Linked DNA regions of Callithrix jacchus. The main gene of each other region encodes a partner of the protein of the gene in region 2 in a complex. Links are inferred from orthologs where the notes say so. Each region holds a gene or a part of one and is shown on either strand. Other genes may lie near its edges.

Evidence for each region. The genes of interacting proteins can lie anywhere in the genome.
Region 1: the proteins of SPTLC1 (region 2) and ORMDL3 are in contact, whole or in part, in a cryo-EM structure (PDB 7K0N), measured with the Homo sapiens proteins. The link is inferred for Callithrix jacchus from reciprocal best matches to the Homo sapiens genes SPTLC1 and ORMDL3. Residues at the interface, in NP_006406.1 of Homo sapiens: Ala16, Leu17, Ala20, Pro21, Tyr23, His24, Leu27, Glu28, Leu31, Ile32, Trp34, Ile35, Leu38, Leu39, Ser41, Lys42, Thr43, Tyr44, Lys45, Leu46, Gln47; in NP_001307730.1 of Homo sapiens: Gly92, Val93, Gln94, Phe95, Thr96, Ala97, Lys100, Thr103, Ile104, Ile107, Tyr110, Phe111, Ser114, Tyr119, Gln121, Phe124, Thr128, Leu131, Met132, Leu139, Pro140, His143.

Annotation. Positions count from the first base shown.
Region 1 is NC_133506.1:120,349,656-120,353,910, forward strand, and holds the start of ORMDL3 (ORM1-like protein 3), read right to left. Parts: upstream 2,853-4,255; 5' UTR 2,735-2,852; intron 2,229-2,734; exon of another isoform or gene 2,056-2,228; intron 1-2,055. UniProt on the Homo sapiens protein: Plays an essential role in the homeostatic regulation of sphingolipid de novo biosynthesis by modulating the activity of the serine palmitoyltransferase (SPT) in response to ceramide levels.
Region 2 is NC_133502.1:96,796,640-96,801,162, forward strand, and holds the start of SPTLC1 (serine palmitoyltransferase 1), read right to left. Parts: upstream 3,031-4,523; 5' UTR 3,007-3,030; coding exon 2,950-3,006; intron 516-2,949; coding exon 408-515; intron 1-407. UniProt on the Homo sapiens protein: Component of the serine palmitoyltransferase multisubunit enzyme (SPT) that catalyzes the initial and rate-limiting step in sphingolipid biosynthesis by condensing L-serine and activated acyl-CoA (most commonly palmitoyl-CoA) to form long-chain bases.

The DNA.
Region 1 (4,255 bases), on a different chromosome or scaffold from region 2:
TACAGGCAGCAGTGGATGAACTATTTTGAGGTCACTGCTTCCGCTCACCTCCTCTAGTTTTTTCAATTCTGGATCTCCCCAAACCCTAACTTAGGAGGACTGATTCGGTAGAAAAAGGGAGCGGTGGGGGGAGAAGAAATGAGAAAACAACAGACTAGGGACAACCTCTGCCCAGATCTGGAAGGCGCCCCTTCTGGGTGACACAAAACAACCCATCCAGATGTTTTTTCCATTTGGCAGCCACTCAGGCCAGCTCTTGTGATGCCACCCACTCTGCTGCCAAACCACCAGGGCCCTTTTCCCCACAAGAGGGGTGAGGACAGAGAACGTGGCCAACACCTAGAGCTCCCATGGAGAGCTGGAACCTGCAACAATATATGCCTCCCAAGGGCACAGACCCGAACCTGTGGCCTCCCTCCTGTCCCCCTTCCTCTCTGTCCTGCCCATCCTCACCTCAGTTTCCCTCAGCACCTGTTTCCAGGTGTACCTTAGCCCATGCCTTCCCCTGCCCAGCACCAACAGTAGGAGACCTGTGGCAGGAGGAACCAGGAGGCAGCCACAACCCACAGTGAGCAGGGGAAGTAGAGAAGGAAGGGAGGGGAATGATCTGCCCCTTGTCCAGAGCTTGGCTGTCCCCAGATCCCTGAGGGGCCTGTGATCAGGAGAAGGTGGGGACAGATGGCGCCTGTGTACTGGCTCACCTCCCATCTGAGGTAGGGTCCTGCCTGCTAAAGACCATAAGGTCATCACCATGGTAACAGCTCCATCTTTCCTAGTCCCAGATGGAGATATTCTAGAAGTACCCAGAAAGCCACCTCCCTCACACCCCTGCGGTGACACCTCAGTCCCAGATGCCATCTATCTCTGATAGGATCCTAGCCAAACCTGCACAGAAGCCTGAATCCTCAGGGGTCAGTTCTTTACTTCCAGGATAACAGGAGCAAGTGTCCTCTTCTCAGACAGCTCCATACTTAGAGATCTCAGGGAAACCATGACCCACAACACACCATCCCAACAAGCAAACACCCCTGCGCTGGCCTGGGGTGCGCTCTGGGTAAAGTGACACTCCTGGGACCCATCAGCGCAGCCCATTAGGCTGGGTAATTGAGTCACACAGAAATCCAAGTATCTAAAAAGCCAGAGCTAGCCCTGACTGTTTACCTTCCCAGGGCTTCGGGGCTTCAGTTACTCTAGCAGCCCCTGGGACAGCTACTACACAAAAGCCTCCACCTTAGAGGGGAGGGCAACATGTAGCTGAGAAGTGAGGGATCTGAAGGAATTACCTCTGATTAAGGAGAGGGAGAGTTTCCCAAGTCTGACCTGGGAAACTGCCACCCCATCACCTCTCTGTTACCCACCCCTACGGGTTGTTGGTGTAGAAAGCCCACTAACCCTTCCTAGTATTTGTGCTGGAGTGCCAAAAGCCTTGTGGAATCCCAGATCACAAGACTCCATACCCCTTTCCGGCTTTCACAGGGCAGCCAACAAAACTTGACAAACCTAGGAAAAGCCCAGACTTAGATCCTAGCCGATACCCTCAGATGCTTCTTCCTGAAGCCTAAACACTAGGTGCCATGAGAGCAGAAAACCACCAGAGACCTCTAAAAAAAGGGATCAATAAACTAAGACAAGAACCGGCAGCCAAAAAACACTGGAGACTTTCGTGTGACTATGGGCACACATCACTTCCATTAGTAAAACAACCAACTGACCCCACTCTAGATGAGGAGAAACAGAGAGAAGAGGCTGGCAGCGGTCTACAGCAGCTAAGCTGAAAAGTTCTGCTGCCATAGCTGGCAGGTGGCTGCTAGTGCCAGGCCCTGATGTGGTTTCATAACCTGCCTCAAACCAGAGCCTGCAGCAACTCTGTTCTGTTAACCACTTTTTTTGCTGATAGCTCTTTTCCCCTCCTTCCCTCCCCACCCCCTTGGCTCCACAGGCAAATATGCGGGCCCAGCCAGTATGCCAGACTCTCAAGCCAAGGCTGATCGTGCACCAGGCCAGCCACCAGGTGAGCCCTTTTCATTCCCTCCCCCAGAAAAGAGCAGCCCTTACAACAGCAAACCTCCTGTCTTCTGAATGAGGAGCACAAAACATGCAGGACTGGATGGGGACCCCCAATGGGGAATCCGTGGCAGCACATCACAATGCCATTTCCATTCCGCCCACCCCGCAAGCCGCAGGACCACAGCCGATCACCTCTCAACTTTGGCCCAGCCATCCCGACTGGGGGAGGGCGGTGGGAGCGGAAAGCTTGTGCTAAGGCGAACCCGCACTAAGCCGAGAAGAGGAGGAGCAAAGGGGCGGAGTCCTCACTGTTGTTAGGGTTTCCTCAGTAAGACCTCCGGCGGGGGGTCGGGGGGGAGGGGTCCGGCTCTGTTCCCCAGCCTGGGACCTCGCACTCGGAACTCGGTCGAGTCCGGGACCCCACCGTCACCTCCACGGGTTCACCCAGCTCTGTAGGCAGCCAAACCTTTATCCCCGAAGCCCAGCCCCTCCCCGCCTCCCACCCCTAGCCGAAGCACTCCTCGCCGACGTTCCACCACCGGCCTGCGGCTCGTACTTTCTTCCTTGGCCACGTCCCCAGCCGCTGCACCCCCTCGGCTGATGCATTCCCTCTACCCCCACTCACTCTGCCCCGGTCTCTCCAGCCCAGGGCGCCTCCCTAGCAGCCTCCACCTTCTCTCCCGCCCCTCCGCTAGCCCTGGGGCCCTCTGGTTCCGTCTGGGCTCACCGTGCGGGGCAGGAGATCTAGGGCCCGGGAACGGTTCCCGGGAGCGGAGGCCGCTGCTGCTCCAGCAGCTGTAACAACCCGCGGCGGCAGCCTCCCCGTTGGCAGCTCCGGCCAAATCAGAGCTCCGCGCCGGCCCTCGTGACATCACCATCCCGCGCCGGCCCGCCCGATGCCTCCTGGGAGTTGTAGTTTTTCCTGGCTCCTTTCCCGGCCTCTCCGGGGCCGCACTGTTGGAAATTGCACCGTGACGCGACGGATTGCATGATAGAACTTTGGTGCGTAACGATTCCAGCTTTCGCTTCTGTGCCTTTCAAGGGTATTTTACCCTTGCCCCAGTTTTGCAGATGAGGAGACTCGGACTTGTAAGTCACTTGCTGTAAGTCTTTGCTGGGTCGGAGACTGGATCGAAACCCAGATATTCTGACCCCAAGTGCCGGGTTTTTCCACTGCACTTGGCTGCCTCCGCCCTGGCCCCAGATTGGCTCCTCCAGAAACGGACTGGCCCGGCCCTTTGCCCTGCCGGGCCCTCCTGGGAGCGCGCTTTTCACACTGGCCGAGGTGAGGGTCTGGAGGGCCCAGAACGGAGCCTGCCTTCTTCTCAGTCATGCTTGGCCCAGGTTGCCCTGGACGGGGCCACATCTTTGGCCGCCCCGCACCTGACCTCAGAAGAGGCCACGTAATATATAGATTCCTTGATCAATAGTAAGGAGCCTGAGTTTCTGTCTCAGGTCAGCTTGTGTGGTTTTGAATGAAAGGCTCTGGTCTGCAGTTTTCACATCTGCATCCTCTAAAGGCAAGGGCACAGACTTTACTGCCTGGTCGACATAGAGTAGGCCCCCCTTTATTGGCAGTGTGACCCTGGGCAAATTACTCGTCTTAATCTCCAATTTCACACCTGTGAAACCCCACCTCCAAGGTTGTGGGAACCCAAAAGAATGTATGTAAAGCACCTGTTGCATTGTAGGAATCTATTTAATATTACTGTGGGAGGTTGAACTAAATGGCTCTTGAGGTCTCCTGGGTCACTCCCATTCTCCATGTCACCAAGAGGCCTTGTCTGGGTAGCTTCCACTCCCTCCCCAGCTTCTCTCTAAGTCCACTCTATGCAGGGCAGGGCTGGAATAGCAAGATCAGATTATGTCATCATGGCATGCCAGCCCGATTCTGAATGGCAGTTCATGGCACTCTGAAGTGAAACAGGAAGGAAGAGTCTAGCCCAGGAAAACTGGGGAGGGGAGCACTTCACTTGGACTCCACCTACCCTTCCTTCCCCAGGGGGCTACCAGGAAACAGTTGTCACACAGCTGGAGTGGGACCCCCAGAGGCACTTAGTGGTCACCAGGCAGGTGGGTATTTGAACCGCCCAGAGCAGAACAGGCAGCTTCTTGAATATTTCCAGGACCAATGGCCCCAAAAGAGTTCATCTCAAGATCGAAATAATCTCCCGAGTCTGAAATAGCTCTGCCTATGTCCTAAGGAAGTTTTTCTTGGTTCGTGGAGGTGCCTTTCCTTATAGTCATC
Region 2 (4,523 bases):
TTTGAGTAGGATTCTTTTCTACTCTGACTCTACTTTAAGAAGACCACAGGGGAAACTTTCTCTCACACTTCAGAAATAGTTGTGCTATTCTGCAGGAACTCACACAACCCTCATATGAACATTCAAACTCCAGTAGCTGCTCATGCTTCCCTCTAACCATCTATTTCCAAGACTGCTGTTTACTCCTAGCAAAGTATCCAAGACCATAATATGCTCTGCATTTGGGTACTGACTTTATTTCTAGATTTCCCCATATTTTGCCTACCCTAATATTTCACTCCCCTTGATTTCCTTACATTACAGAAAATGTTTTAACACACATAGTTGAGCCACCACAAATCCTTTCTGGAAAGACATAGCAACTATAATCCTATACCCAATAATGAAACAGAGATTTAATTTTTTACCTTGACTGTAAGATCAGATCGTTCTTGTAATTTGTAAGTCTTAGAGAAAAGAAGTCTGATTATCCAGAGTATCAGAATCCCTTCCAAAATAAGATGGTAAGCAGGAGCCTAAGAGTGAGTTAAAAACAAATAAGAAATGAAACATACATTTCTAAAATCTGCATATAAAATTTACCACACCTGCATATACTGCCCCTCATGATGTTTAGCCTATTAATTCTTACTACTTACTTTCAAAGCTCCATTAATTTCTATTTATTCCTTTCCCCATTTCTAATGGCAGGCAATTTCTCCTTCACATGAAAAACCCCTAATATTTTTGGCTTTCAAAACTTCTTTGGGAATAAAAATTAAAACTAAAAAAAAAAAAAATCTAACACAGAATCTCAATATTTAAAACAATATAAACTACCAGATTATTTAATTTCAGTGCTTATTTCTTTTTTGGGGGCACCATAAAAGACTACTCAAATTCTACGTTCAATGTGCATAAAAATTGGGAATAAGAAGTTTCTCTTTAGGATGAGTTTTAAAATTTGCTGATCCCCCTGAATACAATTCATTTATGAATAAATCTAAATACCCTTTTAGTTTTCTAAATACCCTTTTAGTTTTCTAAATAGTTGGATTCTAGCAGGCAAACATCTGCCCAAGCCACTAGTTAGAGCCCACTCCACAAAGAAATCTCCCTAAGAAAATTTGAGAAACTATCTGACCAGTGAATTAATAAAAATCACAAACACCACTTCTTTTTCTCCCCAGGAAATGTTACATACAGGAGTTCTCCCAAGTCTCCCTGCTGGACAATTTTGAAATATGAAGTTACACTACTTCAGTCTTCAAAAAGGGAACAACGTTTAATAGAAAATCCATTTCTTAAAAACATATATAAAAAAAGATCATTCAATTTTAGTCGTTCATTTTAGGTCACTCTAACCTAATACTGGACATCACTTAATATTTGAGGATAAGAGAGAGCCACATCTGCTCCCTCTGATACGTTTCAAGATAAAATTCCCAATACGTCTTGCAATGGAAACACCATCATTACCCCTGCCAGTAGACAGTGATAAATTTTTGTGATATTAAGTCATCAAAAGTAATGTGAAATTCACATGAAATAAATGTAAGCTCTGTAAGCACAGGGACTTGTGCCTGTTTGTTCACTGCACTATCCCTTGCATCTAGATCTGTGTGGTCCAACATGGACAGTCACTAGTTACAAGTGGCTATTTAAGTTTTAAAAATTCAGTTCCAGCTGGACATTGTGGCTTATGCCTGTAATTCCAGCATTTTGGGAGGCTGAAGCAGGAGGGCTGCTTGAGGCCAGGAGTTCAAGACCGGCCTGGGCAACATAGTAAGACCACCGTCTCTACAAAAAAAAAAAAGATTAACTGGGTGTGGTGGTATGTGGTCCCAGCTACTGGGGAGTCTAAGGTGGGAGGATCGCTTGAGTCTGGGAGGTCAAAGCAGCAGTGAGATTATTGCGCCACTGCACTCCACCCTGGGCAACAGAGTGAAACCCTATCCAAAAAAAAAAAATAAAAATAAGTGCCTAATGAATAGCTCAGAGAAGATTCGGAAAGCTCTGAGGAACAGCGTGGGGAATCTTATAAATGAATGAATACTAAGACTGACATTCTGGTTTCATATTATCTTATGTATCTGAAATAACTAGCCTTCCAAAAAAACTCTTAACTATTCTTCCTTTAAAAATCTACAGCAGGGCGCGGTGACCAATCCCGGCAATTTGGGAGGCTGAGGCAGGCGGATCACCTGAGGTCAAGAGTCTAAGACCAGTCTGACCAACATGAAGAAACCCCATCTCTACTAAAAATACAAAATTAGCCAGGCGTGGTGGCACATGCCTCTAATCCCAGCTACTTGGTAGACTGAGGCAGGAATCGCTTGAACCCGGGAGGCAGAGGTTGTGGTGAGCTGAGATTGCGCCATTGTACTCTAGCTTGGACAAGAGTGAAACTCCATCTCAATAAATAAATAGAATAAAAATAAAAATCTACTAAAATCATTGTAACTTTGTAAGACAGAAAACTAATGTTCATGGAAGAATGGCAATTTATTTACAAATCCTAAATAAATTGGTTTATTTTCGACAAAACCAAACTCCAATTTATTACAATTATATTCCCCAATTAACTGTTCATAGTACCAAGGAACTGACCGCCTTAGGACCTTCCCAGAGGAAGGTTTTTCACTCATTTTCACCACTCCGTTTTATCGAACGTCTGGTTTTGGCAGACCTGGCTCCCGCGTCCTCTTAGACGTGTTCCTTTCCCGAGCCTCGAGGGGACCCGGAGCATAAGAACTCAAACCGAGACCCTCGGTCTCAGCCCCGGCCCGTTCCTCCCTAATACTGAGCCGCTGGGACTGGAAGATCACGGCACTCCTTCCAGCAAGAGACGCCGAGTCTTGGCGTGATCAAGCCAGTCCCGCTGAGGTCTCAGGCCATAAATCCACACGCGCCGTCCCAACCTCCCCAGGCCCAGGTGTAGTCGCGGGGCGCTCATAGCGCGGAGCCCACCTCGTAGAGCGCCTGTACCATCTCCACCAGCACCCACTGCTCCGTGGCGGTCGCCATAGTTAGCCGCTGAGGACTCCTTCCGGAAGGCGGGTCGCAAACGCGTCCTAAAAGTGCGCGTCGCTGCTCAGTGACGTCCTCGACTCTGCGGAGGGCGGGGCGGTGGAGCGCTGGGCACCGCCTCCTCGCACTTGCGCACTGGTTGACGGGAGGCCGGGCGGCATCGGGTGGGATGCAGGAAAGTATCTCCAGAAATTATTTACCTTATGTCCATTCCGCCCCCTGCTGGATTCGGGATGGAGAGAGTAGACCCTTGCACTTGGCCATCAGCTGGGTGCAGTGTTAAAATGACTGCAATATGTTTACTTTTTTTTTTTTTTTTTAAGATGGAGTTTCGCTCTTGTTGCCCAGGCTGGAGTGCAATGGCGCGATCTCCGCTCACCGCAGCCTCTGCTTCCCGGGTTCAAGCTATTCTCCCGCCTCAGCCTCCCGAGTAGCTTGTATTACAGGCATGCGCCACGTCGCCTGGCTAATTTTGTATTTGTATTATTATTATTTTCTTTTTCTTTTTTTTTGGAGACGGAGTCTTGCCCTCTTACCCAGGCTGGAGTGCAGTGGCGCGATCTCAGCTCACTGCAACCTCCGCCTCTCAGGTTCAAGTGATTCTCCTGCCTCAGCCTCCCCAGTAGCTGGGACTACAGGCACGCCCGGCTAATTTTTTTTTTTTTTTTTTTGTAGTATTTTTAGTAGAGACAGGGTTTACCATATTAGCCAGGATGCTCTCGATCTTTTGACCTCGTGATCTGCCCACCTCAGCCTCCCAAAGCGCTGGGATTAGATGCGTGAGCCACCGCGCCCTACCAATACCTTTACTTTTAATAACATAAGGCTGGGCGTATCTTTGTGGCAGCTTCTATAAGAGAATGCAACTGCCATAAAGAAAGATCATCTGGGAACCACATAGAGTGGGGAAGAGATGACTAAGGGTCCCCAGCTGCCCCAGCCCTTGGCTGTTTGAGTCTTACCAGTCCAGGTACCAGACATGTGAGGGATGACACCTTCAAGGTGGCCCCAGCTCCAGCAGCCATCCGGTTACCACCACTGAGAGACCCTGAGTGAGGTATGCCTAGCTAAGCCCAGTTGACAGCCAAATGTGTCAGCAAAATAAACGATTGTTATTGTTCTAAGCCACTGTTTTGGGATTGTTATGCAGCAGTAGACCACTGGAAGGAATACACCATGGGTTTGCTTGATTTTGCACTTTTCTTGGCCTCTGCAACAGTTTCCTAGGGCTGCTCTAACACGTGATTACAAACTGGGTGCCTTGAAACACAGAGATTTATTCTCTCACATTTCTGGCAGTCAGATGTACAGAATTAAGATGATAGGGGAGGGACAGCAGGAGGGGTAGGGAGTTGGGGAGAAGCATGGGGAGAAATGCCAGATATAGGTGAAGGGGAGGAAGGCAGCAAATCACACTGCCACGTGTGTACCTATGCAACTATCTTGCATGTTCTTCACATGTACCCCAAAACCTAAAATGCAATTTAAAAAAAAAAGCTACTCAGAGGGTAGAG